Oryctolagus cuniculus: one gene and its partner. The protein of the gene in region 2 binds, or shares a complex with, the protein of the main gene of each other region. Links are inferred from orthologs where the notes say so. Each region holds a gene or a part of one and is shown on either strand. Other genes may lie near its edges. The genes, in order: CAB39 and STK11.

What was found.
Region 1: the proteins of STK11 (region 2) and CAB39 are in contact, whole or in part, in a crystal structure (PDB 2WTK), measured with the Homo sapiens proteins. The link is inferred for Oryctolagus cuniculus from reciprocal best matches to the Homo sapiens genes STK11 and CAB39. Residues at the interface, in NP_000446.1 of Homo sapiens: Gln100, Arg103, Arg104, Glu165, His168, Ser169, Gly171, Leu201, His202, Pro203, Phe204, Ala205, Ala206, Asp207, Asp208, Phe234, Arg301, Ser307, Arg310, Lys311, Lys312; in NP_001124321.1 of Homo sapiens: Gln109, Gly111, Thr112, Lys196, Leu197, Leu238, Asp239, Arg240, His241, Phe243, Met246, Ile250, Val280, Ala283, Asn284, Pro285, Glu317, Gln318.

The regions. Positions count from the first base shown.
Region 1 is NC_091434.1:8,419,591-8,424,010, forward strand, and holds the start of CAB39 (calcium-binding protein 39), read right to left. Parts: upstream 3,012-4,420; 5' UTR 2,674-3,011; intron 1,632-2,673; exon of another isoform or gene 1,448-1,631; intron 1-1,447. UniProt on the Homo sapiens protein: Component of a complex that binds and activates STK11/LKB1. In the complex, required to stabilize the interaction between CAB39/MO25 (CAB39/MO25alpha or CAB39L/MO25beta) and STK11/LKB1.
Region 2 is NC_091447.1:58,649,423-58,653,211, forward strand, and holds the end of STK11 (serine/threonine-protein kinase STK11), read left to right. Parts: coding exon 1-35; intron 36-438; coding exon 439-635; intron 636-1,106; coding exon of another isoform or gene 1,107-1,189; exon of another isoform or gene 1,190-1,245; intron 1,246-2,371; coding exon of another isoform or gene 2,372-2,376; coding exon 2,377-3,197; 3' UTR 3,198-3,212; downstream 3,213-3,789. Other genes in the region: ATP5F1D (ATP synthase subunit delta, mitochondrial), read left to right, coding at 3,615-3,789. UniProt on the Homo sapiens protein: Tumor suppressor serine/threonine-protein kinase that controls the activity of AMP-activated protein kinase (AMPK) family members, thereby playing a role in various processes such as cell metabolism, cell polarity, apoptosis and DNA damage response.

The DNA of each region.
Region 1 (4,420 bases), on a different chromosome or scaffold from region 2:
GCATAAGATGAAAAACACTTAATATGAGAACCTGCAGGGGCCAGGGCTGTGGCGCAGTGGGTTAAAGCCCTGGCTTGAAGCAACAGCATCCCATATGGGTGCCGGTTCGAGTCCCAGCTGCTCCACTTCCAATCCAGCTCTCTGCTGTGCCCTGGGAAAGCAGTGTAAGATGGCTCAAGTCCTTGGGCCCCTGCACCCACGTGGGAGACCCAGAAGAAGCTCCCGGCTCCTGCTGTTGGATCGGCACACTCTGGCCATTGCAGCCATCTGGGGAGTGAACCAGCAGATGGAAGACCTCTCTCTCTGTAACTGTCTTTCAAATAAATAAAATAAATCTTCACACTTGATCTTAGCCAAAAGGCCGAGAAGCGATTAAATAAAATAAATCTTAAAAAAAAAAAAAAAAAAGAACCTGCAGTCTGGGGACCTGTAGTCTGGGGCAGGCATTGCAGCACAGTGGGTAAAGCCGTCAGCTGAGACGCCAGCATCTGTTATGGGTGCCAGTTCGAGCCTCAGCTGCTCCACTTAGGATCCAGCTCCCTGCCCATGCACCTGGGAAAGCAGTGGAAGATGGCCCAAGTGCTGGGCCCCTGCACCCATGTGAGGCTCCTGGCTTCGGCCTGGCCCAGCTCTGGCCATTGCAGCCATTTGGAGAGTGAACCAACACATGGAAGATTTCTCTCTGTAACTCTCTTTCAAATAAATAAAATAAATCTTGAAAAAAAAAAAAAAAAAGATGCGAATGCACCTGAGTGAGCTGCCCTGCAATAAACGTCACAGAGCTTGGTCAGGCAGTCAATCACTTCACGACAAACTCCCCTAACCCCGAAGAGCCACCGACAGAAAAACCAAACCCCGGCTTGGAGCACTGGGAGAGCCTGTTTTTGGGGAGTGGGAGGGGCAGCACCCCTCCGACACAGGGCTCTCCACACCCCCTTGCATCCCTCCTGACAACTCGCATCCTGCCAAGCACAAGCTTCACGCAACAGCCCCAGGACCCAACCCTGCAGAGAAGTTAGGACGCACACGCCTGTCAACCCTGTAACACATTTAAGGGGCTTGTCTTCCTCGGGAAAAACATTTTATATGAAGATATACAACCACAAAAAAAAATTTAATGAGATGCGAGGTCTACAAAAAGTTCATACGAAAATAAAATGAGAAGTTTGTTTTGGAGCAAGATTTTTGCATGCACGCTTACTGTCCACGAGACACGTTTCCCAGGGTCATTCTGATGACCCCGGGGATTGCACGCGCAGGTGAAGAAGAAAACAAAACACAGGCAGAGACTGGAGGGGAAACACGCGAAAATGCGAACAGCGACCAAACCGAAAAGGTAGACAATTCACAAAAGCCCTTTTCGCAGGGCTTGCTTTTTCCACCGACCACGGTACCACCGACCAGCCGGGAAGCACTGGCAGTCGCCCGTCACACCCACTAAGCTCACCTCTGAAAGCTGCTCACAGAGCAAAAACCCCAGACTCCCAGGCAGCCGCTTAGTACTTGTTCCTCATCCGGGGGAGGGAGTGGGGGGCAAAAAAAAAAAAAAAGTACAAAATAAGCTAAACTCTCGCTTCTGGCCTTCCGCGCCTGACAATAAAGCCACCGCTGCCTTCCCGTGGAGAGGCGCACGTCCGCCTCCGCCCACCGGGCCGCGCCGCCCGGGGGCCGCCTCGAGCGGAGCGCCGGCGCGGCCTGGGACACGCGGGGCGCGAAGTTCGGGCTGCGCGTTTTAGCCAAGTCACCGACAGCCACGCCGCCGGCGCGCACCCGAGCCCGGGCTCCGGCCGTCTCGCGAGAGGCGCCCCGCGTCCACCTGCACACCCAGGAAGCCGCCGCGCTGCACCGCGTCGACTCCGGGCCCGGCCTCCCGCTCGCCCCTTTCACGGGCGCGCCGGGAACATCCTCTAGCCTACATTTCCGGGCTCGTGAGTCACCGAGAACCGCCGCTCCAACAGCTCCTGCGCAGGCCCCCACGCCTCTGGAGCAGGCGACCCCGGCCAGCAAAACCCGCGGCCCGCCGGTCTACACCAAGCAGCCTTTTTTTTTTTTTTTTTTTTTTTAAATACCTTTGTCCTCCTGCACCGCCCCCACCCCAAGGCCTTCAAGACGCTGCCGCCCTGCCTCGCCCAGGAAGCCCGCCAGGGTTTCTGCCGGGCGGAAGCCATCGATCGGACGGGTCCCCCTCCCCCCGCCCGGGTACCCTGCTACCCCTCGCAGGGTCTTATCGCCTCCTTCCCGGGATCGCGGTTGCTGGCGGACGCGCCTTATCTCCCGCCCCAGAGCCCGGGGAGGCGACCGCGGGGCCGGCTGCACCTCTGAATGCATCCCCGCGGCGCGGCGCCGCCCGCCCGCCCGCCCGCCCGCAGTCAGCACCCGGGGCTGCTGCAGCCCAGCTCGGCGGCGCTCCGCCGCACAGGTCCCCATCCGAGAGCCGCCGAGGCGTCTCCCGACAGGACCCCCGCCGAGGCGCGCCCCGCCTCGCGGCACCGGCGTCTCCCGGGCGCCGGGGGCAGTGACAGTTAGCCCCGGCCCGCACCGCCCCTGCCCTCCCGAGAGCCGCGCGCGGCCCCGGGCGCAGAGGGCAGGGCCCCCGCCCGGCCGCTCCCGCCGCCCGAGAAAATGGAGGCAGCCCGGGGCCCGTGCGGGGCCGGCGGAAGCCGGGTCACTCACGGGGCTGGGCCGGGCCGGGCGGCTCCCTCTCCGCCTCCGCGTCGTCGCCGTCCCCGTCCTCGGCGGCCGCCGCCGCCTCGGGCTGCTCGCTCGGTCCCCGCGGCGCGGCTCGGGCGCTCGGCCCCTCCGTTGTCTTCCGCCCGCTCCTGCTCCCGGCGGCCCGGGGGCGCCCGCGGTGGCCGCCGCGCGGCTGCGCTCGCTCGGGCTGCGGCTGCAGGCGCTGAGCGGCCCGGCACCGCCTCCGCCTCGGCCCTCAGCCCCGCTCCGGCAGGCTCAGTGTCTCTCAGGCCCCGCGCCCCGCGCCCCGCGCCCGGCCCGAGCCCGGCTTTGACGTGCGCACTGCGCAGGCGCCGAGGGCGCGTCGTCGGGCGGCGCCGCAACGCCCCCTGCGGCCGCGGGCGCCCCCGGGCGGCCGGGCGGACTCAGGGCGCGGGAGCGGGAAGGCCGGGCCCCGAGTCCTGCTTCCCTGGTCAGGCCGGCTTTCCACCAAGACTCCCCAGCGAAGCTTTATTTCCGCGGAAGGCCTGGAGCCGACTTTGTGCAGACCGACTCTCCCCTGCCTGCGCAGAGGGGCAACAGTTCAGCGCCCCAGCGAGGGATGGGCATGCAATGAGCGGCAGGGTTCAGTCTGGACTGAAGTCTCAGCTCTCGCATGGTCCACTTCATGTCCCCGTGCCTGGATTTCCGCACACATTAAAATCCGAAAAGGGTAATAATACAGGGACCCGAGCCCAGGCGCGTGCGGAGGAGCTCGGACTGCGGAGGCCCGGACAGAAAGACACCGGCCATGTCTGCTTTTGCTTCTTCGTAAATGACCGAGTGTTTCTGAGCGCCTATTGTATGCACTGTAAGTGGAGGGGCTGTGTTCCCCACCCCCCCACCCCCGAACCCAACAGTGAATCCTGGGCGGCTTTGGGTGCTCCGCAGAAAGCCAGGGCTGGGTGAACAGGGGAGAGAGGCAGGAGGGATGTTACTTATGCTCCTCTGGGGGCAGCTACTTGAGGAAAGTGAGGGCCTTGGCCCTTTGTGCAAAGCGGACAGCGTGCAGGAGGTGCTAGGTGAGTCCCAGGGCGAGTGCGGAGCCCTGCGGAGGGGCGGGGGGAGCACGGGGCACCCAGACCACGCGGAGGATGCGATGCAGGGTTCTGAGCAGAGAAGGGGCGCCGTCTGACATTTCACAAGGATCCCCGCAGGCTGAGTCCTGCGGGGAGGCCCCGAGAGGCTGCTGGAGCCGCAGGTCCAGAGAGGCGGGCGCAGGGCAGGGGAGGTGCACGGAGGTGGCGGGTTCCAGCCGCATTCGAAGGCCGGTCTGCTGGGGCTGCGCTCAACTTGGTTTTTCTCAAGCAGCTGTGAGCTAGACTTTGGTGACAAGGGGAGGACTTCCACAGAAACGGGGGGGACTTCCTTTGGCGGGATCCTGCGCCCAAGCTGCCCGCTGGGCACAGAAGCGGGAAGTTGATACCGGAGCCCAGCGAGCGGTCAGCCCCGGAGTCTCCGGAGTAGGCTCAGGACCCCATGAGATCATTTAGGGAGTGAGTGGGAACAAAAGGCGAGGCCAAGGAGCAAGCTGAAGGGGCCAGCCCCGCGAGATCGGGAAGGGAAGACCAGTAGGGCATTCTGGGAGACCCGCAGGGGATTCTGGGAGGCCAGCGGGGGATTCTGGGAGACAGTGGAAGATTCTAGGAGACCAGCAGGGGATTCTGGGAGGCCAGTGGAGGGTTCTGGGAGGCCAGTGGAGGATTCTGGG
Region 2 (3,789 bases):
AAGAGGTTCTCCATCCGGCAGATCCGGCAGCACAGGTGCGTGGCGCGGGCGAGGCCCGGCCGGCGCTGTCTCCCACCTCCTGGGCCCCGGGTGGGGCAGCCGGCTTGGGCCTGTTTGCAGTGGCTGGCTGATTAGTGAGGGAGGGAGAGCGCGCCTCCACGTGCCGGTGCCGTCCCCGGCGGCTGCGGTGGCCGGGCTGGGCCAGGCGGAGGCCAGGCCTGCGTGGGTCCCCTGTGCAGGCAGGCCTTCCCGGCGCCCTACAGGGTGCTGTGGTGCACGCTGGCTCGGTGCTGGCCCCCTGCCCCCCGGCCGTCTCCGGGGCAGCGCTGCGGCGCACGGGAGGGAGCCTGCAATGGGGGGGAGGCAGTGCCGGCCGGGCCAGGGCAGCGGGGTGCGCGGCGCCAGGAGCCCCGGTCGCCCACGGCCGGGCTTTTGCAGCTGGTTCCGGAAGAAGCACCCCCTGGCCGAGGCGCTGGTACCCATCCCGCCGAGCCCCGACACCAAGGACCGGTGGCGCAGCATGACCGTGGTGCCCTACCTGGAGGACCTGCACGGGGGCGCCGGCGAGGACGCCGACGGCGAGCACTTCGACGTCGACGACGACATCATCTACACTCAGGAATTCACCGTGCCCGGTGAGTCCGCGGGCTGCGGCCGGCTCCGCCCGGGCGGCTCCGCCCTTTGGCAGACTCCGAGCGTCCAGCCCGGCCTCTCCGGCCCAAGGCCCATCGGGAGCAGGTGGGAGACCCCTGGGACAGGAGCTGCTTGCCGTGGGGACAGACTTGGGGTGGGGGCTCCTTCTGCCCAGTCCCTCCCCGCCCAGCCCTGACAACCCCGCTGGCCAGGGTCCCGCAGCCCCTACCCCTCCCGCAGTCCTGACCCCACCCCCTGCAGCCCTGACCCCACCCCCCACCCCCACCCCGGCCAAGAGGGTCTGGGGGTCCTCCCCTCCCGCAGCCCTGACCCCGACCCCCGGCCGTGAGGGTCCGGGTCCTCCCCTCCCGCAGCCCTGACCCCGCCCCCCGGCCGTGAGGGTCCAGGTCCTCCCCTCCCGCAGCCCTGACCCCGCCCCCTGCAGCCCTGACCCCGCCCCCTTGCTTCCCCAGGTGGCGAGGAGGTCGCTGAGGCAGGGCTTAGGGAGCAGAGCAGCGAGTGTGCAGCCCTCTGTGGAGACAGCGCCAGGCCCTAGCGTAGCCCAGCCGCAGGCTCCGCCCACAGGCCCTCCCCAACCAAGGCTCCGCCCACAGGCCCTCCCAGCCGCAGGCTCCGCCCATTGAGGCCCTCCCCAACCAAGGCTCCGCCCACTGTGGCGCCCTCCCCAGCCATAAAGCTCCACCCACAGGCCCTCCCCACCACAAGACTCCGCCCGCTGTGGCGCCCTCCCCAGCCATAAAGCTCCACCCACAGGCCCTCCCCACCACAAGACTCCGCCCGCTGTGGCGTCCTCCCCAGCCATAAAGCTCCGCCCACTGTGTCCGTCGCCCTTGCTTGCTGCGGTGGCCCCCCCAGGCCCGAGGGTTCCTGTCCACTTCCCTCAGCGAGAGCGCGAGGCCTCTCCCCCCAGGCCCCTGTGAGGCTGAGCCGGGCGGGCGGGCGGGGGCGGCCCTGGAGCCGGCCCAGGTGGTGGGGTGGGCGGGTCCTGAGGGGTCTGTGCTCCTCTGGACACGGTTGGGGTCTGAGGGTGCCCGGCCCCCGGTACAGCTGCACCCAGAGAGGCACCCCCAGGACTGTGTGTGCCGGGGGCAGTGAGACCCTGGCCCGCCGGGCCCCAGGGAGGCAGCAGGGCAGGGCTGGGCAGCCCCCCCCCCAGCCGAGCGGCAGTGCCACTGGGGCCTTGGGCAGGGCGGGGTCCCCGGGCCTGGCGGGTGAGAGGGGCCCCTCTGCCCTGGGCCTGGGGTGCTGGGCTCCGTCCCTGCCTGACCCAGGCCCGTCCCCCGGGCCCTGCCTGCGGGCTGCCGAGTCAGGCTCCCCCGCCCTGTTGGAGGGGGGCTGGGGGGCTCTGGGGACGCCTCTGCGCACTCCCCCACCCCACGGTGAGGGCGCTGTCCGGTGAGGCAGGGTGGGCAGCAGCCGAGCCCTTGGGGCCCCAGGCTGGGGGAGTGGGCAGGGTGCTGGGCTCTTCCGCAGCCGGGCCACCCGGCCCCTCCCGTCCCGCAGGTGAGTGCCGGCGTGGTGGGGGGCGGGGCCGCAGGGCAGCCCAGGCCCAGCAGACACCCCTGGGTGGACGGCTGACGCGGCCGGCCAGCTCTCCACCTGCCTGTCAGGGTGGGCAGCGGGCAGGGGCGGGGCGTCTGCCCGGAGCTGCCAGCAGGGGCGCGGGGCGGCCTGGCTGCTGCCCTCGGCTGAGGCCACACTGGCCGGCTTCCCGCAGGACAGATCCCCGAAGAGGAGGTGGGCCAGAACGGACAGAGCCGGGGCCTGCCGAAGGCCGTGTGCATGAACGGCACGGAGTCGGCGCAGCTGAGCACCAAAGTGAGGGCCGAGGGCCGGGCCGGCGCCGCCAACCCAGCGCGCAAGGCCTGCTCCGCCGGCAGCAAGATCCGCCGGCTGTCGGCCTGCAAGCAGCAGTGAGCGCCGCCTGCAGGTGGGGTCCGCGGTGGTCACGCCAGGCCCAAGCCGCGGCGGGGAGGCGCCCGCGTGGTCCCTCGCGCGTCACGGCCGGGCCTGGGGCAGGGTGGCCATCTGAGCAGCCGGGGAGCCCGATTGGGGGGTGGGCCGGCCCCCGCGGCCTGCGGTTGTCCTGGCTGCCCCGCCCCGGGTGCTGCATTGCCGACCCGTCTGCGGCCACCCAGACTGCTCCGGGGAAGGCCCGGGCCGCCGTGACCGCCCCGTCCTCTCGCAGCCTGCCTCCGGGAGTCTCCGCCAGGGGGCGCGCTCCCCCAGTCTTCCCGCCGGCTCCCGGCCCAGCGCCGCCCGCCCTCAGGACAGCGGGCGGCCCCGCGGCCCGGCCTCCCCTGGCCGCCTGCGCGCAGCGGCAGGGCCGTGGACACGACTTGCTGACTTTGCAATCCTGCCTGAGCCTTCCCCAGGCGCAGAAGGGAGAGGCCCGGGCCGCCGTGCACTTTACCTTGAGACTACTGGCTCTGCGCCCGCCGCACGGCCCCGCCTTGCATGCAGAGCCGCCAGGGAGCCGCGCGGCTGCCTTGTTTTCCTCGTTTGGTTGGTTCCTTTTCTTTTTGTTTTTTAAGAAAAAATAAAACAGGTGGATTTGAGCTGTGGTGTGAGGAGTGTTTGGGGGTCGTGGGGTACAAGACTCTAGCCCAGAACGCAGGGGCCGCGGTCGGAGGCGGGCGCCCCCTCCGCGGTGGTCCTCCCTGCCCGGGGACCCCACCCCCGCCCCGGGCACGCCCCAGAGACAGCCAGGAGGCGAGGCCTGCGGTACACATTTTTATCAACCGGGAGAGACACGACGAGGACACTCCAGCGGGGCTGGCGCGAAGCGGGGGGCGGCGAGGGCCGCCCATCTTTTGGCAATAAATAAAGCTGGGGGAACAGGGCCGTGCCCGGCGGCTTCGCTCCCGTCTCTGCCCGGGCGAGGGGCGGGCACCGTTCATGCGGAGGGCGGCGCGGGGACGCGGACACACACGGGGAGGGCGGCGGCCTGCGGCTCGCGCATGCACCCGGCACCGGCACCGGCCGTCCGTCCGGCGCAGTCCAGGCCCCGCCGGCGCTGCAGGGAGGCTCTGCGCATGCGCGCGAACGGCCCCCAAGGGCCCGAGGCAGGGCCAGGCGCACGCAGGCCGCGGCCACGGCCCAGAGGCCGGTCTGGGGCCCGGGACCCAACGTTGC